Linked DNA regions of Mus musculus: regions 1 and 3 are each reported to be linked to region 2. Evidence: microRNA targets listed by miRTarBase, many of them from high-throughput screens and not tested one by one. Region 2 holds a microRNA gene; each other region holds the end of a gene's coding sequence.
Evidence for each region. The annotated mature microRNA mmu-miR-449a-5p reads UGGCAGUGUAUUGUUAGCUGGU and lies in region 2 at 1,512-1,533, opposite strand. An mRNA with a match to its seed (bases 2 to 7 or 8) in the 3' UTR can be bound and repressed. Matches are read on the target gene's strand: a 7mer-m8 pairs with bases 2 to 8, a 7mer-A1 pairs with bases 2 to 7 and ends in A, and an 8mer does both.

Region 1: miRTarBase lists Fyco1 as a target of mmu-miR-449a-5p. Seed matches in the 3' UTR shown: 7mer-m8 at 9,749-9,755 and 8mer at 8,516-8,523.
Region 3: miRTarBase lists B3glct as a target of mmu-miR-449a-5p. Seed matches in the 3' UTR shown: 7mer-m8 at 5,514-5,520.

The regions. Positions count from the first base shown.
Region 1 is chr9:123,782,516-123,792,941 of GRCm38, forward strand. Fyco1 (FYVE and coiled-coil domain containing 1) reads right to left here. Exons shown (of 18, transcript NM_001110253.2): 18 at 6,985-10,234. The coding sequence ends at 10,159. It overlaps Ccr9 (chemokine (C-C motif) receptor 9), which reads left to right. Exons shown (of 3, transcript NM_009913.6): 3 at 1-942. Among named protein-coding and RNA genes, the nearest start is that of Gm17021, 14 kb to the left of the region's middle.
Region 2 is chr13:113,036,082-113,039,081 of GRCm38, reverse strand. Mir449a (microRNA 449a) reads right to left here and starts at 1,548; the gene lies at 1,458-1,548. The region is part of intron 2 of Cdc20b (cell division cycle 20B); the gene reads right to left. Mir449c (microRNA 449c) reads right to left here; the gene lies at 2,991-3,000. It overlaps Mir449b (microRNA 449b), which reads right to left and starts at 1,663; the gene lies at 1,584-1,663.
Region 3 is chr5:149,754,622-149,765,707 of GRCm38, reverse strand. B3glct (beta-3-glucosyltransferase) reads right to left here. Exons shown (of 15, transcript NM_001081204.2): 15 at 3,109-6,269. The coding sequence ends at 6,102. All of the region lies in intron 1 of Gm36141 (predicted gene, 36141), which reads left to right. Gm38587 (a long non-coding RNA gene) reads right to left here and starts at 2,526. Exons shown (of 3, transcript XR_001785033.1): 1 at 2,088-2,526; 2 at 1,568-1,694; 3 at 1-6.

The sequences.
Region 1 (10,426 bases), not on the chromosome of region 2:
TCTATCAAGGCCACACCCCTTAATCCTTACTAAGCAGTCCACCCACTGCAGACCAAGCATTTAAATATATGACCCTGTGAGGGCCATTCTCATTCAGATCCCAACAAAGACCTACACAGCCACAGCATTGCATTACACATTCAGACTACAGCACACACCTACACAGTCACAGCACTACACATTCAGACTACAACATATGCCTATGAGCCACAGCACTACACAGGTGGCATTTTGTTTGCTCTTGAATGCTAATTTGATTTTGTAGTTCTAACATTTTGTCCTGGAATCATAATGGTGCTGAAGGAGAGAGGCAGAAAGAGAAGCAGGGTGAACCTTCAATGTACTTGCTTAATCTATATGCTTGCCAAGAATTACTTACATAAAGGACCCTATGACAGAGAATTAGTGGGTGTTGAAGGTAAGTGCACATTAATTAGAAAATAATTCCAAGCTTTTCCCCCTGTGGTTTGTGATGGGGAGTTTGGGAACACTACAGGAAACACAGGCTTTGTACAATATCTAATGAAATAATTGCACTTAGTTTTAAGAAGCTCTTGGAAGTCTGGGAGATGCTTAGCTCTGGATTCAGTGAGAGAACCTGTTTCAAAAATTAAGGTAAAGGAGCAGAGAGCCCTTTCAGATGCTCCAGGTTCAACTCCCAGCACCCATATGGTGGTTGCAGCTGTCTGTAACTCAAGTTCCAAGGGATCCAGCACCCTCTTCTGGCTTCCATGGGAACCAGACACACATCTAGTACACATAAATACATACAGGAAAAACGCAATATTAAAAAAAAGATAATGCAGAGAGCATTAAAGGAAGACACCTGATATCAACCTCTGTGGGAAGCCGTGAACAATCGCCATTACAAGATGGCGCTGGCTTCCACAGTGTCTAACTAGTAAACAAGCAATGTGCGCAGGTGCTGGAGTAAATTCGTGCCAAGTCACTGCCCATCCCGGGGTGTAAGAGTGAAGTGAACAGCTAATCAAGAGCTGACACGTCACACAGAGGGGTATTTAAGCAGCACCATTTTCTGGGTTCGGGGTCTTCCTGAGAAGTAAGCAATAAAGATTTGCTGTAGAAGGATCTGGTTGTCCAAGTGTGTTTTGCTGGCAAAATGTTACAAGGACAAAGTGGTGCCAAAACCCGGGAATATATCATCACCAGGCGCTGAAAGGAGACTCCCTCCCCCCCCCCAACATTTCACGGGACAGATTCAGAACTACGGGATAATACAGCTCTACAAGGTATGGCCTTAAACTTTCTCCAGCGTTAGAAGCCTTTCTGTTCCTTTTCACAGAGCTCGTTCTTTTCTTTAGATTGTGTACAGTTTCCACAGGAGAAATTGCTAACTAGTGTTCAGTCGAGGTCAGACAAGGTTAGAAAAAAATGCAAGAAAATAACATGGGAGCCTCCCACACTGTAGTGACCGCCTTACAGTCGGTCCTGAGGCAGCGTGGCTTAAAAGTCTCCACCAAGACACCAGAAGGCTTTGTAAAAGAGATAGATCACATAGCACCGTGGTTTGCGTGCTCAGGGTCCTTAACTATCCCCTCTTGGGAGAAACTCAGGGGAAATTTAGTTGGGGAGCAAGAGAACAACAAACTTAAAGCAAAAATCATGCCGTTGTGAAAGCTGATAAGATCATGCTTAAAGGACGAGAAATGTCAACAAGTAATTAAGGCAGGGCAAAAAATTCTAGATAAAATTCAAGAAAGCCTATCAGAGACAGAGCGGGGAGAGAGAATAGGAGCAAAAAGGGAAACATGATACACCAATCAAGCATACAGGCCTTTCCACGGGTCTTGAACCTGAAAAAAAAAAGATAATGTCGAGAAAGAATGCCCGGGGAGAGTTTAGAAAAGGAGAAAACAGAAAAACAAAAGATAATATAAAATATAAAGATACAAAAGATAATATAAATTATAAATATACAAAGGATAAAAATTAAAATTAAGTCAATTTACCCTCCTCTCGAGGACTTTGACTAAAGAGGCAGCCTTCATTAAAGGCTTAAAGATAGCTCTCAGGGTCACTGTGCCTCCTCTCTCTTCTCTGGCAGTATTCCCAAAAGAAAGAGATAAAGAAGTAGAGTCTGAACATGAGAGAGAGAAAATAAGTTTTAGAAAAGCAGTTATCCCCTGTTTGGGATCTTTTAGCAAAAAAAGAGAAAAAATGAAAATAAGCTATTTCAGAGCTCTCCTAGAAACAAAAGGAAAATGGGAGATGTCCTATTTTCTCTCTGGCTCCTATGGAGATATTCTTAGCTCTGGTTAAAATATCTGTGTCCCTTTGAGACACCAAGTTCTATTCCCTGTCTGTCTATTATCTGTTTTTGGTGCACCAAAACAAATTGTCCATATATCTGTCAATTCATGTTTGTTTTTGTTATGTTGTTTGAATGATTATTGTTCTGTGTTTCATGTTGAAAAAATATAAATGGTTAAAACTTTATCTGCTGGCTCTCCATCCTTTAACTTGTTTAAAAAGCAGTTTTAATTTGCACAGCACAAGCTAATAAGTTAGCTGCACTGTGGCTAAAAACCAAGTACAGCTGAAAAGCCTTGCTGAGGGCCGATTGCAAACGGAGCTCTTAAAGGGGCAGGCAGCCTTTTGCTTGTAACAGAAAGTTAGTTTAAAATTGGGAACTCAAGGTTGGAGTCTTTCTAAACAACATGAACAAACACAAGAAAACAAGTCTTTAAGGATAATTCAATATAGGGATAATCTTTGGGCCAAGACTCTGGCAGAGAGTTCAGATTGAGAAAAGTTTGCATTTGGGTTGAGGCAAAGCTCAGAGGGGAGCAGCTTCAGCTCGGCTTGTGTGGTACTTCTTAGAGCCTTATTACAGACCTAGCCAGATGTTGTTCTAAATAAAATTTAAATTCAAAGTTTATAAAAGGTCAATTAGGCTGTGAAATTTATCAATACATTGCGATTTGACTTGCCTACTTTATATAAAGTTATAGTGTACAGAGTTTGCTTACATATATAAGTGTCTTTTCCTTGTTCCAAACAGCCATTAATTTGGTTATTGCAAAATATTGATGTTTGATTTATTGCATACCATCATATAAAGTAAAATTGATAATCATTATCCTAAGATAAGCTAAAAATTTATAAATTCATGCATGCATGCATCCCATTTACTGTGTTTAAAAAATAGCCTTTATATGAGAGAAACGTATATGTGAATTAAATCACATGATTATTCTTTTGAGTTTCTTCCTGTTTCAGCACAGATAATTAAATCGTGTGCTAAAGATGGTGTTTAAAAATGTTGAACAATCAAACTTTAAGTTGTATATTAATAGTCAATATTATATCTCAGAGCTTACAATTGCTTATGCAACTTATAAGAAAAAATACTGTTCCTTTAAGAAAATTGTTTTTGGGCAGTTAAGAACTTGTCCTGGATTGCCTGGAAATAACCCCCAAGATTTGCTTTTGTGTTATAGAGGTTTACATAAAGCTTTAACTAATAAAGATTACAGATAGCTCCTAAAAAGATACAAACTCAGGATTCTTATATTTATTTGGGTTTTAGAAGATAGTTATTTACAGAGACAACTTAAAGATTTTCTCTAATTTCTGATTAATAAATAAATTATACACAAGTGACTATAATGACTTTTCAAGCATTCTAGTTACAATCTCTCTTCAAGAGAAACAATTGAAAGGTAATTAGTCATTGTTCATGTTATATTAAAACTGACTAACAGTTCAGTATCTAAAATTTTGATGAAAATACAAGATTGTATTTTGATGCGTGAGCACCCCTTTTATATTCAACATATTAGAGCACATACATCATTACCTGGCTCCTATTCAAAGAAAAAATTCCTAAGCTAAAGTTAACCACTGGCAAGAAAGACTAAACAGATAACTCCTAGCTGTTTATTTTGTAAATCTAAATAGTATATATGACTGGGCTGAAAAGCCACCCTAGAAACAAATGTTCTGTTCTTGTTAGTCAAAAACATTCATGACCTACACCTGGCATCAAGGCAACTGACTCCCACAGGCTATATCCTGGAGAGGACACAGAATGTATATGAAGGCCTCTATCTCAAACCGGTCATTAGGTAACTAGGAAAATTAAAACTTCTTTAAAAAACAAAAACAAAAAGGGGGGATAAAGGCTAAGACGCCAAAGATGGCTCTATCACTTATAATATTTACTCTTAATTTCTCTTAATTTATTAAAACTAGATAATGCTGGGAGATCACCAGCTAAAAGGCACGGACAATGGCCTCAACCGCTCAATGAAATGGTCAAGTGGAAGAATGTCCTTAATAATAAATGGTATGGCCCAAATCTTATCTTAATCAGATCCCGGGGAGCTATTTGTGTTTTTTCCACAGGGTGAAGAAAATACACTTTGGGTCCCGATGCGACTGACAAAGACCATGAAAGATCAAGATGAATCCCAAGATGATCCTGTTATTCTTACTCCTGATGATTGAGACCAGTATAAGTATACCCTTGTGGGCCATAGTAAGATCATGGCCAGTACCTTTACCAGTACATTCCAATTCTTCTACCTTGCCTTTGACAACTGAATATTTTTAAAGAAAAAGATTATCTCTAATTGGACAGATTCCATTAGCCAAAATAAAGTGAGCTCTGGAGTGTTATTTAATGCTTTAACGCAAGTTGCTCAAGGAGCACAGTCAGGCTCAAGTGATGTTGGAAATAATGTAACTTCACCTATAAAAATCACCACGATCATAATAAAGGGAAATGCGACTATTCCCAAAAGATCAGGATGGCCTGTTGGCAATGCTACTGCTATACACAGCATGCCTTGGTGTCATCCGGACCTTACATTTCCTATAGTTTTTTCACCTTGTCAATCAAAAACTTTTTCCTCAGAAAGAAATAACATAGAGTTTTGTTTTGTCACCTCCATTAGATTTTGCTATAATAACTGGTAAAGGAGATGCTACAGAAAAAGAAAATATTTGGCCATATTACCAATAGATTCTAAATAATGAGACAGGTGTTGGTGCCCAGTTAAAGGGGGGGCTGATGATATTGAATCAGCGCTTCGATCTGGTTGAGGAACAAATAAGTGTTCTATACCAGTTGGCCCAGTTGGGCTGTGAAAGAAAATTGGGTGCTCTGTGCATCACCAGTGTCCAATATGAAAAATTTACTCGTGCAGCTAATCTGTCTAGGCAGCTTTCTTTGTATCTTACAGGAAATTGGTCTAAAAGATTCGATGAGACCCTTGAGGCCCTGAGAGCGGCTGTTCTCAAGATCAACTCGATGCAAATGGACCTGTCTTTGACAGAGGGCCTCTCCTCCTAGATTTCATCTGCATTTTCTTATTTTAAGGAGTGGGTGGGGGTACTTTTGTTTGCTGCTGTTATCTGCTGTGGACTTGTGTTCATGCTCTGGTTAGTTTGTAAGCTCAGAACCCAACAAAACCATGACAAGGTCGTTATTGCTCAGGCACTTGCAGCCATTGAACAAGGGGCCTCCCCTAAAATTTGTCTGTCCATGCTTAAGACCTAAATGGCATCTGAGTTCTCTGCTATTGCATCCCAGAGATTTGTGGATCCATTGCACTGGGATGTGAGAGACTCAACACTCATTGATCAGCACTTACACCTCGCTGAGGTTTACTAATTCGTTTTTTGGCTGGCCTCTTTTATAGAGTTCGCCCTAAGTCATTTAGCAGTTACTGTCACACAGTACTGCGGTATCCAGAGATGGGCAACTTTCCTCATGTACAGACCTACCTAAGACACGGGACCCGGTGGCGATAGGGCTACCCTATGACGGGAAAGGCTGTGACATTAGAGGAACAACCTAAGACAGGAGCCACAGCAGATGGGCATAACTGCAGAGGCCTAGACCAGCCTCAATTTTAATAAAATAAAAAGGGGGAGATGTGGAAGCCGTGAACAATCGCCATTACAAGATGGCGCTGGCTTCCACTGTGCCTAACTAGTAAACAAGCAATGTGCGCAGGTGCTGGAGTAAATTCGTGCCAAGTCACTGCCCATCCCGGGGTGTAAGAGAGAAGTGATGAGTGAGCAGCTAATCAAGAGCTGACACGTCACACAGGGGTATTTAAGCAGCACCATTTTCCGGGTTCGGGGTCTTCCTGAGAAGTAAGCAATAAAGCTTTGCTGTAGAAGGATCTGGTTGTCCAAGTGTGTTTTGCTGGCAAAACATTACAAGGACAAACCTCTGGTCTCCACAGGTACACATAGACATGCACCAATGATGAGGATCTTTATGGCACAGTATTTCTTTTAGTCCTTTTGTTCTGAACTTACTGTTTCATACAGTGGGGGATGATAATGATGAAGATGAAGAGTTCCTTACCCTCACGGGAGTGCCTAAGAGTTACAGAAAATGTGAATGATCCAAGCAGCAAGCACAAGAAAATCTAGGCAAGGGGAAGATTGGAGGAAGGGAACAGGACATGTGCTGGGGGGTGGGATTCTCAAGGGATGGGGTCCTTGGTCATCTAAAATGAGCACCAATTTAGGAACAGTGTGGGAGTGAGCAGCTCTAACTCTCTGGGCTTGTCTCCAGCCTCCCTGCTGCTGAGCAAATTATAGCACACACTGTGGCAGGTGCTGCTCCTTTTCTCTGCAAAGCATCAGTGCTACACATGCTTACTCACAATGAGCTTGAGCCCTGTGTGGCTTTTTTTTCCCCCTGTATTATTTTGGCAGGTTGAAAAGTTTGAGTGCTCTGATGTCATGAGAGAGGTCTGGAGCCTTATGAATGGCAGAGGATGGTAGGTGGAAGGAATCACAGGCTTGGACAGGTCTCAATACCTCAGAGAGGACCAGGAAGTTTGCCAGGACCTATCAGTCACACTCTTATCTGCGGGGAGGTGGGGGTGGGGTGAGCTGGGATGGGTTGGGGGTGGGGCCTGTGAGATGTTCTGCTTCCTGCTGGGTAGCTCTGTCGCTTATTTTACGACTTATTTTTGTCAGAGGAATAAAAGACAATGCTACTCCAAATGCCACAGTATTTGCTTTATTTAAAACCTGAGGTTAAAAAACATTTCCAAATGGCATAGCACACACTATTAAAGAAGTTTACTCAGGGATCCCAGTCTCATCCCTTCGTGCAGGTGAAGTGCTGGTGTTTGATGTGCTTCTGTGTAACTCTTTGGCAGGCAAGAATGAAATGGGTTCCTTGACCCATTATTATAAGGCCACATGGATCGTGAATTAATGAATTAAAGTGCACTCTAACTGTTAAGCCTTCCCACGGAGGCTCAGTATCACTGCAGTCACCAAAAGAACATTGAGTGAGATTAAACACACATCAAAAGGCTCTAAAAATGACCCTTGATCAGAGGTCTCTGGAAATTTAAAAAGTGCTTGAGAGGGAAAAGGAAATTATGAATTAACTTTCCTGTTTCCTCAGAAGAAATGAAATGAGACAAGGAAAGTGTGCTAAGATTCTACCAAGTAGTGTTCGTTTTTGTAAATGTGAGCAGCACTCAATAGTCTTTGTATTGCACTCCCTGGTTCTGAGGAGTCAAAGATGTCTCTCCTCTCTGCCTCCTTTTCCAAAACCTGTGAGCCAAGAATGTTTTTTTCTCAGTTTAAAGAATTCTCACAGGTTGAACCACTGAGTTTGAGTTTAAAAACAAAACCCTATGATCATCAAACCATATCTACACGATTTCCTTCTTTTTGGGCCAGGAGTGGTTTGATTACCTGGGGGGGGGGGCAATTGAAATTGTTCAGAAATAACATCTTTGTTTATATATGGCTCTTCATTTCTACCTCCAAAACCATATGGAAATTTTCAGTTCCAGATTCCTGTTTGAGAATTCCTTTGCCTGCTCTTGGTCTAGGACTAGCTAGAATCCTGGGTACTTCAGTCAGCAATACTCTCAAAGTCCACTCAGACACGGAGGGCCACTCTGTCTCAAGGTGGGTGAAGTCTCATAGTGCTTCAGTGGTATTGGCGAGCAGGCAGCTGGCAACACTACTGACCTGACTGTTAGGAATAGGCTGAGTCATTAGAGGAGAGGCTGCCCTCAGGAAGAGAATCACCAAGATCTCAAGGATGTTTCCTTATGATCTTTGGTGTAATTAAATCCAGCTGGGCCATCATCTTCCTTAATGATTCTTCAGTTGTCAATTGCATTTTTCAAAAATTTACTCCAATGACTAAACCCCAGTAAAACTGGGGACTACTTAAAACCATAAAGCTATGTATGAAAGGCACACTTACACAGGGCCAAATGTTCTCTAGTAACCTAGTGCTCAGCAGACTGGAGCAAGTACAGTACAAAGCCCATTTAGCACAAAAATAGACTATTAAAAACAGAGTTGGTATATGCCTAGTGGAGTACTATGCAGTCAGCACTGGAGCCTCTCACCTCAGGTCTGAGCTTCACAAGAACCACATGGGCCTCCTGATGAGTGACTGAGTTCAGGATGAACTCAAATGTAAGGTCTCAGGCCCCTCCCAGGCCACCAACACAGCAGCAACTCAGTGAATGATGGCTCTTGATGAAGATGGTGGCAGTGACACCAGCAGAAGGCCATGAGTTTGGCCAGTGTCTCCAATATACCCTGGAAAATCCAAGCAATAAAAATGAGATCCTATTTGGTACTGGATGCTGTTGATCTATTGAACAAGCTGGCTTCAGCATTCCATTTGCAAGAGGGTAGAAGGGTTCAAAGGTAAGATAATTTGGCTTTTAGCAATCTCAGGCCACATACAGACCCACAAGAACCCAGGGTAGCCTTCAAAGGCTCAGCTGAACATGCTGGCTTCTTCACACTGAACAAAGTTGCCATCATGGGTAAATTCTTGGTGGTAGGAGTAAGAAGGGGCCAGAGAGAACAGGAAGCTATCTAAGCTATCTATTTGCCTGTCCTAGAAAAAGAAACAGTAAACTGTCTACAACATCAGGTGTGAGCTAACTAGCAGGAAGTAGGCAAACAGGGAGGGAGTGACAAATGGAAGTTATGTCCTGTTCTTCCACTAGGTAGCCTCTTAAGTTACCAAAGACTTTTCTTTCATAGAAAGGTTGCAGGGATTGACAGTAGGTCTTACCCCAGCCCCACTCATTAGTAAACAGCTGTCTGCAGCTGAGGCAGAAACTCTAGTTTATAATCACAGATGGGCTCTAGGCTGACACGTGAGCTTTGGTGCCACTGTAGGGAACTTAGCCTGTATTTGGACTCCTGCTGTCCATATGCAGAGCTGAAGCCTTCATGTAGTAGTTGCTTTTTCCTAGACCTCTGTTTGGTTCCTGAGTGTGTGTGTGTGTGTGTGTGTGTGAGTGTGTGTGTGTGTGAGTGTGTGTGTGTGTGTGTGTGTATGTGTGAGTGTGTGTGTGTGTGAGTGTGTGTGTGTGTGTGTGTGTGAGTGTGTGTGTGTGTGTGTGTGTGTGTGTGTGTGAGAGTGTGTGTGTGTGTGTGTGTGTGAGTGTGTGTGTGAGTGTGTGTGTGTGAGTGTGTGTGTGTGTGAGTGTGTGTGTGTGAGTGTGAGTGTGTGTGTGTGTGAGTGTGTGTGTGTGGTGGTGGTGGTGGTGGTGATTTAGATCTGCTGAGTGGCCTTGCTGAACAAAGCCCCCGAGCAGACAAAGGCTCAGGAGAACAGCACAACAACTCTGGCCTCCCAAAGTCGCTGAGTGGAAGAAGCAGACCCCACTTATGGGGAAATTAACGAATGGGGGCATCTTTGACATGATGACCCTGTAGTGTTTTTCTCCTAGGACTACCCAAGGCTTCACAAAGTGGCCAGGGCAGTGGCCCTTGGCCTACAATCTTGGCTGTTGAAGAGTAGATATACTATCAAGACCACGTCTGGCCTGAAAAATACCACACAGTAGATTGTTACCAGCTGTGATCCCAGGTGTGGTTAATGGTGTCACTTTGGATGAAAAGGCTGAGTCTTGTACCTTGTTCTTAGGGGCTCTGGGACCTGAGAGTAACGGCTGCATGGAGCCAAGCGCACTGTGGAGCCCAAGGCCTCTGCCAAAGCTGCAGAACTGCTGAGCTGGGGGCACAGCTGATTTTCTTTCTTTTGCTTCTAATTTTTTAATATTTAAAATTTTGTGGATGAGTGTGCGTGTTCATGTTTAATGAGATAGGTGAGGAGGAGTAGTGTTTCCTGTGGATGATGAAGAGCTAATTAGAGTTCAGGTACTGATGCTATGGGAAATCGCTTCCATCGTAGATCACAGGCCGGTCAACAGTCAGGTGGTAAAGCACTTTTTTGGAGATAAATCTGAAGAAATAGAAACGGAGAATGAATGTGTTACTTTTAGCGCAGCTTCTTTTGGGGTCTCATGTCCCTGATTGTGCTTGGCTGGGTGTAGGAACCAAAGTCTCGAAGGAACCAGCCTTTGGGGACCGGACAACTTATAGATCACTTTAGTGTTCCTTGTTTTCCCTATCCCATCATCTGCCCTTCTAGTCT
Region 2 (3,000 bases):
AGAGTAAGTGACTGTTGATGTGTCTGATTTATATCAACCCCACAAAAGTCAAGGAACATTGTAGAAGAGGGGGACAGAAGGAATGTAAGCCAGGGAATGAGGAAGAGTACTGGGAACACTGTCTTCTGGCCCTGTATGGTCCTTACACTCCTCAACTAACGACAGATAAGCAGGCCTGTGTAAGATGAAGCCTGCTAACCATCCAGCAGGGTGGGGAGGGGCCCGGAGGCTCCACCCTAGCTGAAGAGCCGCTGGAGAATGATGACAAATGGGAAACGGAGGTCATTTTTCTTCACGGGCAGGAGCTGTAGTGGATCAGATAGATGGCCCCCCGCTCGTGGGAATGTGGACAGCTTTAATTGGACTCAGGGTGTTATTTTTTAAAAGAAGCCATAGAGGTAGAAGGGAGGTATTGGGAAAGGGTCCAGAGGGAGTGGGAAGTTTGGGTTGAATAGAATCAAAATTCATTGTATACATGTGTGAAATTCTCAGGGAATAAATAAAAATTCTAAAAAAAAAATGAAAATACTATTTACTTAGCTGTCTTAAACACAAAGACCATCATAAAATAATACTGGTCAACAGCAGCAACACCAAGGATGAGATTTGAAAATAGTAAAATACACAGGAATCAGATAATAGCATCTGTTTAACCTATGTCTAAGAAATATATTTACATTTAAATAGTTAATGCAAATTTATTTCATCAGGAGATTTTGGCCCAATAACTTAAAGAGTGCAGTCTTTTTCTTTTCTCTTCTATGTCTCTAGTAGTCACCAGTACACCACAGTGAGTTCTGGTGATTTCCTGCAGATGTCCACCTGAGGTCACCATATGACCTCTGACTCTGTTCCGTGAATCAAACGGCCTTCCAAAGAATGAGGAAGTATTTTAAATAATATTTATGGCCAGCTCTTCTTCTTTCTTTATAAACTAGATCTCATGTCCTTCCAATTATTGTAAAAAATATTTGCAATATTTTATACAAAATGGAAGAACTGAGTTGTCTCCCCAAATAAATAAGCCCATCCCTACCACATCCCCAAGATATCCCAAATTGTCTAGATACTTCTAGTGAAGATGTTTTAACGTGTGGGTCATTTTGAAAGTTAACACAAATTCTCCCTCCACTTGGTGTATACATAAAGTTGGAGAGACCTGCTCTACTCTATCATGAAACTGATTTAGTTGGAAACTTGGGCAAATACACAAGGCTTTCCATTTTATTCTAAATCTTGTGTTAAAACAACAAACACATAACTTTATAAATGCTTTGATAATGTCAAGCTAGGACTCAGAAAATATTACTTGAGTTTTTAAAGTAACAATGGTTAGTACTTTCACTGCTATAAATATGTCCTTGTGTCACCCCAAGCCACTAATAGCTGTTATCATAATAGTACCCCTCTTCATGGCAAAGCACATACATGAGCTGTAAATGCATGCTGGTGGTGATTGTGTGTGCAATAGGAGAGCAGTCGCATGTTAGCTGGTGCCGCTCACATACTCAACCAGCTAACAATACACTGCCAAGCCATCACACACAGGCAAGACAGCGCACCTCATTAACAAGAAGAACCCAGCCAGAAGGAAGTGGCAGGGTAGCTGTGGCTGCTGGCCTGACCCAACGCAGCCAGCTAACAACACTGCCTACCCGAGTCTGGCAAGTTCGGATTTTCACAGTCTGTGGAGTGGCTGAGGCTAAGTTTCTAACAGAAAGACACTGCTGCAGAGCTGCTGGAGTGTGGTGGCGTGGATACGGAGAGCAAGGGAACTCTGAGGGAGCCAGTTTTCTCCTTCCACCATGTGAATTCCTGGGATAGCATGGCAGTAAGTGCCTTTACTGAACCTTCTTGCCAACCCCAGAACTCTAATCTTAGTAACTGAAGAGGATTTATAGAGAAACCTTGTTTAATGTCTCCTAAACTATAAGAAACAAAATTTATATTACCAAGCTATACCCATGTTTTAAAAAAAAAAACTTTTAAGAACTTTAAATGTGGTTTTTGATGTTTTGTTTGTTTTTCCCCCTTGGGGGTGGGGGGTTGATTGGCTAATTTTTTTCTAGACAGGTTGTTTTTGTGTTTTTTTTTTTTTTTTTTTTTTTTTTTGTAGCCCTGGCTGATGTGGAACTGCTGTGTAGACCAGGCTGGCCTGGAGCCGGGAGATCCACCTGCCTCTGCCTCCCAAGTGCTGGCATTAAGTGCTTGACTAAGAACTCTGTATTCTTATACTTGGGTTTTCCAAATTTAATGTTAAGTTAAAGATGTTAGCAAAGTAAAAATGAATTAACAAAAGTTCAATTGAATTAGGCAGTAAAGTATCTAGAAGATAAAATAATTTGGGCAGGAAACATAACTAAAGACACAATGTAAAGGCTTTTAAATGTTATTTCTCTATAGGTGACATTAGTCACTGCATTTTAAAAGGCCAGCTATATATTTGATTTCAAGCGTCACTGATTGAATATAGAAAAATGTATGTTATCTAGAAAAATATTCAAATGGTGAGATTTTAGCTAATAATCTAAATTTAAAAGCATGTGGGCTATTTGGTGTAAAGAGAAGTAAGTGGTGCTAGAGATGTGAGTCAGATGAGGATTTAACTTTTTCATCCATTAAAGAAAGTACAGGAGCTGGAGAGATGGCTCAGCGGCTGAAAAGAGCACTGGCTGCTCCTCCAGAGAACACAGATTAGATTCTCAACACCAACAGGGCGGCCCCCAAAAGCCTGAAACTCCAGTTCCAGGCGATCAGAAGCCCTCTTCTGAGCTCCGCGGACACCACGCACACACGTGATGCACAGATATAAGTGCAGGTAAATAAACACAAGGTAATAAAAATGAGTTTCAAAAGAACACTCTTTTAAAAAGAACTGCAAGCTTTGGGTTAGAGCTTTAAGGGGCAGAAATACTATATTGGATCCAGCTTTTAGTAGCTGTCTTGAAGACACCTCCTTATCCACCAGATGGCACTATTTCCACGTCTTTGCATGCTTCT
Region 3 (11,086 bases), not on the chromosome of region 2:
AGAACCCTGAGGGGAAGAATTTGATGGAGACAACTCATTCAGGGCTGCGTGTCCCAAGGTCTCTCATCCCCTGTATAATGTCTGCCTGTGGGATGTTTGTTCCTGTCTGCGACAGGAGGAAGCGTCTCTGATGATGACGGAGTAAGGCACTGATTTAGGGATATAGAAGAATGTCATTAGGAGCCATTTGGTTGCTGTGGTCTGTTTGTTTCAAACTGTAGTATTTGGGTTTATCCTCAGTCCCTGCCTGGCCTTTCTACTCTCAGGTTCTTGGTCAACCAAGCAGTTTGGGGTCTGGGTTGCATCTCATGCTATGAGCCTTGAGTAAAATCAGTTATTGGCTGGTCACTCCCACAAGCTTTGTACCACCATTGCCCTAGCGTAACCTGCAAGCGGGACTCCATTGTAGATCGAACGGTTTGTGGCTGGCTTGGTGTTTACGGTTACGGTTTGATGGGTGACCTGCCTTTTGATGAGAGACATCAGTGATATTGGCATCAGTGTGTGGCGGTCCCTCTGAGTCCCTTTACATCTCAGGGCTTGGCTTTTCTCCCTTTCCTTCCCCTGCAGGTGGTCATTATCTTGAACTCTGTGTTTATGTTTTCTCTACTTTTTGATTAATGTTTCTCTAAAAGGTATGTATGCCCCACTGCGTTCTTTTCCATTTTCAAGTTATATCACTGAGATCCTATGTGAGTCTTAACTCTGATGATTTGATGGTGTAAGTCTCCTGGACCTGTAGGCCACTCACATGAGCTACTGAACGTGCAGATGCCATAGAGAACCCACGCCTTATTTACCCATTCTTTAGGCAATAGACACCTAGGCTGGATACAGCTTCCAGCTTGAGAATAGCAAATGCCGCTGTGAACAGCCAGGGTGTGCTTCCTGGTGTACTGTGAACAGCTGGGGTGTGCTTCCTGGTGTACTGTGAACAGCTGGGGTGTGCTTCCTGGGGTACGGACATGAGCTCCCTCGGGCACACAACAGAGTAACACTGAGAAGAGGGGCAAATGTGTTCATCACTGTCAGCATCTTTTCCCCCGTGGCAACATGCATGTTTGATATTCTCAAGTAGCTTGCTTCTTCCTTTCTTAATCTGCCAGCATGCATTAGTCCTTCAACTCATCTGATAAATAATCAGAGTTCGCTTAATAATCTCTTGTCTGTGGGGCTATTATATGGTTATCGTGTGGTCTCTTCCTTATCTTCCCATAGGCTAGCATTTATAACTAGATATGCATTGAGTCTGCACAGTCTACATGTTCTCGGTGGACTGCAGGAGGAATTAAACACACACACTCTGGAGCCAAAATGCCCATTCAAGAATCTAGCTCTGAGACTAGAGAGATGGTTCAGTGGTTAAGAGCACTGGCTGCTCTTGCAGAGGACACAGGTTCAATTCTGAGCAACCACACATAGCAGCTTGCAAACACCCGTGACTCCAGTCCCAGGGGAGCCAATGCTCTCTTCCGGCCTCCTCGGGCACCAGGAACACGTGTAGTACACGGACACGCCTACAGGCAAAACAGTCAGACACATAAAATAAGAATCCATTAACACCTACCTCTGCCACTCGTCAGACATGGACCCCTGGGCGGCACTGCCCGTCTGTGAATCTCAGCTAAGATATGAATGATGTAAGGAGTTCCTTGGTTGTAACTCATGAAGCTGCTTCCCACGAAAATCACACACTAAAAAATTAAAATTCAACAGAGACATGTCTCCAACGCATGAACCTATCCATGCGCTCACAGCAGTAAGTCCTCCTGTTTCTGCCTCTATTCTTCACTTACAGAAGGTTCTCCTAAGCACTCAGAGACCTGCGAACACAGAGCCATGACTAACATGGCCAGCCCCACCCACTGTCACAGCCAGGGTAGACAGTACTGCTCTCTGCAACAGGCTCCAGAACTTTCCATCATGAAAGCCCAACTCCTCACGCCTCAGGTTTCATCTTCTGTCTCAACCCACCTTCCTTTCTTCAACTATGGACAAGCTCAGAACTCTCTATGTGTGCCTATGTGTGTGTGAGAGACAGGGAGACAGACAGAGACACAGAGAGAGACAGAGAGAGAGATGTTTACCACAGTTGTCTTCAACTTGCACTTGCTCCTCAACCTCTGGGGATGGGTGTGTCCAGTCACATGATTTCCAAGACACTGAATCACACAGTCCCTTCCTCTCCTAATGGACCTCTTGGCAGCTGGAATAGAATGGGACATTTGCTTCTTGAAATACCTCCCCTGGCTGTGACATGCAGCTCACACTCCACACACACACACACACTCCACACACACACTCCTCACACATACTCCTCACACACACTCCACACACACACACACACACACACACACACACACACATACACAGGTTGTCTCTCTCTCCTTCACTTTCTCCCCAGTTCATCCTACCCACTCCTGAGAGGGTGGACCCTTTCAAATGCTCATGATTCAGCTGGAACTGAATATATAGCTGAATTTATAGCTCAGGGCTCAAGACCACTGGCTGCTCCTCCATGGCACCTGAGTTCAGTTCCCAGCACCCACAGCAGGTACTCCTAGCTCCAGGAGATCTGACACCTTGGGCCTTCATGAGCACAACACTCACACACACACACACACATCTACATAGAACTCAGAGATAGTAAGCTTTTGAAACACTCATGATTTTCAATATTGAACCTCTGGCTGCCCTGAAGCCCAGACTTCGTATCCAGCTGCTTGCTGGCCATCATCTGAACTTCACAATGACGGCTGAGGAACACTCTCTACTCCCTTTCATGTTGGGGACCTGCACCCTGGCCAGTCCCTCTGGACTATAAAACCCTCCATAGCCACTAGTGAAATTTCAGCTTCCTTAATCTTCCAACTCTTCGTCCTAATACTCTCTTCTCACACAGACCTCCTCTCTAACTGCTCCCTGCAAAGAAGCCTCTAAACTGGACCCAACCAAGTCCTGGCTTTTTGTTAAAGTACCTTATTCCTGATCATTCCCCTCCCCTCCCCTCCCCTCCCCTCCCCTCCCCTCCCCTCCCCTCCCCTCCCCTCCCCTCCCCTCCCATGCTTGGAGTATCATGCCTTTAAAGAGACAACAGAAGCCAAAGCATACCAGAAACAAATCCTTTATTTTATTCTATAGAAAGGAGGAGAACACATTTTGCAGGTGACTTGTTTAGAGGGCTTGAGGACATAAACAATTTAAATAGCACCTTTTCAGGCCTGTCATTCAAAGACAGCAGGAACAAAGCCCCTTTGTAAGTCTGCTATAGTGTACTTAATGGTACATTGATTGCTTTTTTTTTTCTTCCACAAAAATGACACATCTACGAAGGAACGGGAGGCACCACAAATATTCTTACAAATGTCTACTGTGTGGTGAATCTCTGAGGTTCTCTATACACATCAATAACCATGATAGATGCAACGTACTAAATGTCGTCGATCAATCAGGACACGCAGTGAACACTGGCATCTAACACGGCCCTGCGTAGCATTGTTTGTAACTCTGGCTGCTGAGCGATTACGGTCCCAAGCATTCAACAAAGGTTATTTTTGTGTCTCGACTTCTGATTTAGCTGTAAGATGTAAAAATTCTACAGGCAGGCGATGTGCTGGGTCATGAGAAATGGCTTAAAAGTAAAAATGACCTATCAGGTAATTCTATACATAAATCCTTGGTGCTAAATCCTTAGGATAAAAATATCTACTGGCAAAGAAATCCTTACTTAAAGGGAAAAAGAATACCAAAGAGGGAGGGATGTGCCCTGAAGAATCCAGGCTCAAAATTAAGGTTTTTTGTTTTGTTTTGTTTTTTCTTTTTTTTTAAGATATCAATTCTCAGTTGGTGTTCAAATAGAGCCTGCCATTTGCTATGTATAAAACATAACACGTGGTTCTTTTAAAACTGTTTTTTTTTCTTTGCTTTTTCCTAAGATGTTTAGTTTTCATTGACTGTCTTAGTAATCTGCCAGTGTTCCCAATTTCTCAGCGCCTGTCCAGCATGCTCCTACCCACCCCACATCTAGCCTCAACCAATAGACAAAATGCAAGGTCAGAAGTAAGCTGAAGACATTGTATTCATGATGAGACTTCTGTAGCTCCAAAAGGGAAACATAGTTAACCACATATCTAGAAATACCAGCAGGATCCTGGAGGGAGGGGGGAGGGGGAGGGGAAGGAGGAGGGGGAAAGAGGGCACAGGTCATAACAGAGAAAAAAGATTGAACATTCTTCATTCCTCAGATGCGCTAGCTTTTGTCCTACCAAATGAAACTTCCTCTGTTCTCTGGTTGGTAACATTTCAGGAGCAGAGATGGGAGGGGTGGACTGAGGAATTCCCTGAGCGGCACTGGTGTAGCAACCAGGTCCCCCCGGGGTATCCCTGCAAGGTCAAGAAGGTAAGTACCATGATAGCAATGGTCACAATGGTGGCATTCATCATTGCCGTGTCAGCAATGATGCTACAGCCATCTGCAGGACACCCAGAAGCCATTATGGTCCCTTTCATGCACTTGACTGTCCTCAGTTCAGTTTCTAGCTGAACCACAGAATCAGTTTTCATAGTCTGTGTTCCACCAGAAACCAGAAGTAGTGGGCCACACACCAATCCTGGTGCTTATTAATTTGGGAAAAGGATGATAAACACTACTGCATGAATTTGGACATGAGTCAGAAGTAAGCTACATAGGAATATACATTGTTAAAAAGTAATCACATAGGTATTGCTGATGGAGTGGCTTTAAAGGCTATAAGGGCTTAGGAGCCTTATAAGTAAGGTTAATGAAGTACAGATTGAAAAAAAGGAAAGGATTCTAACATACAACCTTAGGAACTTGAGAGCAAATCATGTGCAAAGACATTTATATAACAAAATCATCATCTTACTTTAAACATTAACACACAGTACTCTTTTTTTATATATATTAACGCTGAATTGTTAAATTAGGACATAATAAAAGGTGTCACTGGAAAACGAGGGTTGCTTTAAAGCATGTTGTTCAGATTTCATTCTTTTAAAACCCAGAGAAATTGCTGATCTCCATGCTGTCCTCTCACAAGGGGCCATGCTGATGCTGCCAGGACGGAGGCAGTCTAGCCTGAGCCAGAGCCAGAAGCGAGTTACTATGTAACACCCAGGGAACAGCAGGAGTAACAGGCCAGCTCCAGATGCAGCTCACATTACCAGACCCCCCCACGCCCACTGCTGACACAGAAGAGACCTGTCAACCTAGCATCCTAATTTCCGGTGACACTCTGTCCACTCTATTGGGGGCGGAGGGCTTTGGGGAGGCTGGCAGGGAGCAGAGCCTTCACCAGATGGCCTTGAGTCTGTTTTGGGGGTGCAACCAGCAGAATAGGGGAAAAAGCAACCGTGATTGTATAGTTGGGGGTATTCATATTGAGTTTTAGGTTTTACCAATCAGCCTCAGTATTTCATTCCTACTGAGTGCCTGGGAACCAATTTCCATCAACAATAGAGCCATTTAAAGCCATGGTTCTCAACCTTCCTTAGGCAGTGGTCCTTTAATACAGTAGTTCCTTCATGCTGAGGTGACCTACAACCATAAAACTATTTCCTTGCTACTTCATAACTGTAATTTTTCTACAATTACGAATTGCAATGTAAGTACCTAATATGTAGGATTCCTGACATAGGACCAACTGCCACTCCTAGGGGGTCTCGACCCACAGGTTGAGAACCATTGGTTTAAAGGCTCATTCCTTTGGCAATATCCATGTTTAAAGATTCAATGTTTATGTGGGATGATAGCCAGTCATATTCTTGTATTGGCGTCCCTGTTACAATGGAGAAAACAGAAAAGGACTTTAGGTACCATTTATTTCCTCTGACAGTCAAAAAGCTCTTGATTTACAGCCCACGGTGGGCTAAAATAGGCACAATAATTGCCGTGTTACAATTACGACATCTATGAAAACAAGCGATTTTTCCCAGTTTCCCTTATGAGTCTACCGATACAGAAAATATCCTATTTCCACAAGGACTGGGAAGTGTCCATTTCACACAGCATACACGAGCAGCTGGACCACAGCTCAACAGACAGGGTGAATCTCTTGTATCCGTGTGTCCCAGACTCTGTTCTATAATTCTTCTCTTGGGTCCTTCTGTGTCTCCTGCGTGGCTTGGTCTTCCTCACTGGGTGCCAGCCACGTGAGGTACACCTTTACCGGGTCAATGTGCCAGTGTTTGTGAAATGATACTGGAATCTGATGGGCGAGGTAGTCCTTGGGGTAATCTACTGGCCGAGCCTGCTCAAAAAAAAAAAAAAAAAAAAAAGCAAAAAACAAACAAAAAAAACCACCGAGTTAGGATTTCCCAGGTTACGGTTTTCTGATTAAGAATGATCGGCTCATTCCTCCTGCAGATGGGGACAGAGACAACTGCACAAGGCAGAAGGACCACCAAATCTCTACCTCGGGGCTCAAAGAGTCTGCAGAAAGGGGATAGAGAGATTCTAGGAGACTGTGGGAACCGAAGACAACATGGAAACAAAGCCTTCTATACCCAGCAGGACTGACGCACTTAGATGAACTCATGGAGCATGCGCAGGGCCTGCACACGTCTAAGCTGGATGGGGTCCCAGCGCTGAGAGAGGAAGTAGACACAAGGTCCTATCCCTAGCCCAGAAGTTATCTTCAACTGATAACTGCTCAAAAAGGAAGAATTAGTTTCCTCTAAAGGAGTCTTTCTGGGTATGCAAGGGCAGGTTCTATGTTCATCAGTAGATGGCCAACACAAAATGAACTCATTGCTATTTTTAGATGGCTCTGTGTGTGTGTGTGTGTGTGTGTGTGTGTGTGTGTGTGTGTAGGGGGTTGTTTTGTTTTGCTTTTTTTTTTTTTTTTTTTTTGTCTCACGGCTTTGTCTGGGCTTTTTTTTTTTTTCATGATTTCCTATTTTGTGTTTTTTACAGAATTTCTGTGTGGCTAAATGTGTGAGTCATTATGTGTTTCTTGTGCTTTTTATTTGGGTTTTTTTTCCCCCTTCATCCTATTTTGGTTTGCTTGTTTTTACTTAATTTTATCTTCTTATTTTTGTTTTTAGATCCCTGTTTTCTAATGAGAGAAAAGGGGGTGTGGATTTGTGGTGAGGAGAAGGCGGAGAGGACCTGGGAGGAACTGGGCGAGGGGAACCGTACTCAGAACATATTGTATAATAAAAACATCTATTTTCAATAAAAAAAAAATTGATTTGCTCAGCAGGTAAAAGTGCCTCATGCCAAGCCCGAGGACCTGGCTTCCAACCCCGGAGCTATGTTGCTTTAACCAGTTGCCAGAATGCACCTTGCCTTAATCTTTGCCTGTGGTTTACATGTGGGTTCAGATTGCAAGTCTCTGTGAAGTGGGTGACCCCATGCTGCAGGCCTTTTTGGCATTAGGTGCTGTTTAGGCCTGGGCTCAGCTGTCTCTGACTAACAAGCCATCTTCATCCCCTCTGCTTTACCTGGAGGGAGCACACCACGTCCCCAGCCCCACCAAGAGAAGAGCGGGGCTCTGTGCACAGAGCACCACCCACACTGAACCACTAACCTACTTTGCTCTCTCAAGTTTCGCGTGTATGTCAGGCTCTGGTGACACAACAGAACTAGGAATCTGCCGTTGTCCTCAAAGAGCACACAGCCTGGTGGCATGCAGCGAAGTCTCACCTGACCAGCACATGTTCACCGTGGTATCCCTCACCCACACACACAATAAGTAAAGACACATCTTTTAAATGATTATCTCAGAATAATGTTTTGTTTTGTTGCGATTTTTGAGATCAGATCTGTCTACATAGCCCAGGCTGGCCTGGAAGTTCCTATAGATTGGGATGGCCTTGGATTTTGAGATCTGCCTGCCTCTTCTTCTTGAGTGCTGAGATTTAAAATGCCCACCATAACAATTGACCCAAGATAAATGTTGATCCATATTGCAACTACTTCAATTTAATATTTAGTAGTGACTATGGGAATCTCAAAGCAGAAAGGGATATATCTTCGACTACTTTCCCTCAAACTCCACACTCGTTGCCTTGAATTTCTCTTGATTAATTTCTCAAATGCTTTACATCCTGTGTTCCACACTTTTTGTCCTGGAGACTGTTCAAGCATGGCAATAAACATAAACGGTTTCCTCAGTAATTCATATAAGTTGGTGGTGTGTGATATAACTTGTGGGAAAAAATTAAAATGAAAAACAAAGAAAAGGAAGAAAACGTACTTCCTAGGTCTCTTCCAAGAAACTGCCAGGGCTGTGCAGGTGTGGGCTGTGCAGGTGTGGGCTGTGTAGGTGTGGGCTGTGCAGGTGTGGGCTGTACAGGTGTGGGCTGTGCAGGTGTGGGCTGTGTAGGTGTGGGCTGTGCAGGTGTGGACTGTGCAGGTGTGAGCTGTGCAGGTGTGGGCTGTGCAGGTGTGAGCTGTGCAGGTGTGAGCTGTGCAGGTGTGGACTGTGCAGGTGTGGGCTGTGCAGGTGTGGGCTGTGCAGGTGTGGACTGTGCAGGTTTGAGCTGTGCAGGTGTGAGCTGTGCAGGAGCTCAGGTGAGGTATTCTCAGGACCTAGGCTGCATACCCAGGTGAGGCTTTCAAAGAGAAAACATGAGTTCACTGTAGGGAAAAGCGGTTTAATTCTGATCCCAATGTACAAACGGAAAGGGTGTAATGTTATTTAATGTCACCGTTCACATTCTCTGAAACTCAGAATAGGAAGTGCAGGCAGAATGAGACATGCCCCAAAATGACATGGTTGCATCATTTTGTGTTCAAATGACAATGTGTTCAAAGGTAAACTGAAACCAGACACAATCCTGATTGCATTAATCAAAGTGTCAAGTTTCCATCATGCCCTTAATTTGTCTATAAATTTATATAGTCATTTGTGGTTTTTTGTTTTGTTTTGTTTTTAGATTTATATATCTCATGTATGTGAGTACACTGTAGCTATCTTCAGACACACCAGAAGAGGGCATCGGATCCCATTACAGATGGTTGTGAGCCACCATGTGGTTGCTGGGAATTGAACTCAGGACCTCTGGAAGAGCAGTCAGTGCTCTTAACTACTGAGCCATCACTCCACCCTTAGCCATTTGTTTTATATTGCAACTTATTTAGCTTGTAATACTAAAATCATCTCAATTATTACAATGATATGTAACACACTTTTTTAGACTCTTTTATGTGTATGAGTGTTATACTGAAAGCATGTATGTATATCTGTCTTATGGTATTATTGCTGTGAAGAGATCCTATGACCAAGGCAACTCTTATAAGGGCAATATTTAATGGGGGCTGGCTTACAGGTTCAGAGGTTCAGTCCTTTATCACCATGGCAGGAAGCATGGCAGTGTCCAGGCAGGCATGACACTGGAGGAACTGAGAGCTCTACATCTTGATCCAAAGGCAACCAGGAACAGCGTCTTTTCTGCCCAGGGTGGACCTTGTGCATTGGACCTCAGAGCCCACCCCCAGAATGACACACTTCCTCCAACAAGGCCATGCCTATTCTAACAAGGCCACACCTTCCTGTGGGCCAAGCATTCAAACTCATGAGTCTGTGGGAGCCATTCCTATTCAAACCACCACATATCACATGTATGCCTAGGGTCCATGGGGGCCAGCACTGGATCCCTGCAACTGGAGTTAACAGATGATTGTGAGCCACCACATGGGCACTGGGAATTGAACTTGGGTCCTCTGCAAGAAAGGGACAAGCTTCTCAGATAGGGCCCTGGTGACACCGACCTAGGGGTATAGCATTGGAGACCTGGTAGCGATGCTGCCTGACATTCGTATGTTTTCATCTTGTCTTCCCCAAGCCGAGTCCTCTCTTCTGAACAAAGCTTTTTTTTTTTTTTTTTTTTTTTTTTTTTTTTTTATTCCAGGGAGGCGCATACAGGTAAAAATGATGTTCTCTGTAACCAAGCTAAAGGGTGGGGGGAACAGGGAGGATGGCAGAGACTTTGGACATGAAAGACTTGTGTTCCATTATTCATATTCAAAAAGTATATATAGTAGGGGAAAAAATTTAGAAATTAATGCTTCTAAGTTTATCGCTAGTTTTTATTTGATGTCCAGAGTCCCAAAACCATTATTTATTTTTACAAATTCTTCTCCGGTTTAATATGTGTATTTTATGCAGTGGTCACTGAACATGGCATATTGCCATATCCATTAGTGAAATATGATTTTGGGATGGGTGATCTAGGCCTGTGATTTTACAGTGACCTACCCTGACGGAAACAGGAGGGCTGGCCAGTGCGGCCTCTGAGGATGCTCTGAGTCCCTCTCCCTACCTCTTACATATGGGGCATCTGAGGTGTGGGTACCCTGTCTCAGATTCTCTCAGCACAAACAGCATGGAGATCTGGGTTGAGACATTACAAATGCCAAGTCCACTTCGAATCCAACCACACTCTAAAAGATGCTCAAGAGAGCAGTGTAAGTTGGGGGCGCAGGCTATAAACCCTCTGCAACATCAGGAAGGGTTCAGATTTACTGTGTGAATCCGAGAAATCAAGAGCTTTTAAAGCACGAGGAACAACACATAACTAAAAATAATCGTTTCTGAATTATCTTCAAAGGACGATGACTCCAGGATTACACTATCTTTCCGTCTTCCTAGGAGGAAGAGGCTGCTATAGAACAATCTAATCTTCGTACGTTACTTCCCTTATGCACAAGCAGCCTGCGTTATTTTTCCATGAGTGAAACATGGAGACATAGAGTCCGAGAGGCAGGAACAGAGAGTAATTCACTTTCTGAGCTGTCGTAAAGATAGCGTAAGACACGGGCTTAAAAGGGAAAGATATCTCGAGGCCTGGGTGCATACGTGCCTCCCAGCAGGGTCCACGAGTGAGGGCTCCCATGAGCTTCCTCTCAGAAAAGCTCTATTAGCCCCCCTGCGCATTCCTGGACACAGGCATGAGTTCTATCTTCATTGCCAATGCTTAGACGTTCTTTGCTGTGTTCAAGTTGTTTTTCTATAGTGAGATTCTGCCATGCTCAGTCCTCTATATTGCTAGGATTGTAGATCTAAAGTGCTAGGATTTGCTATTTATTGGGAAAGAAAGAGAGGAAGGGACAGAGAGAAGG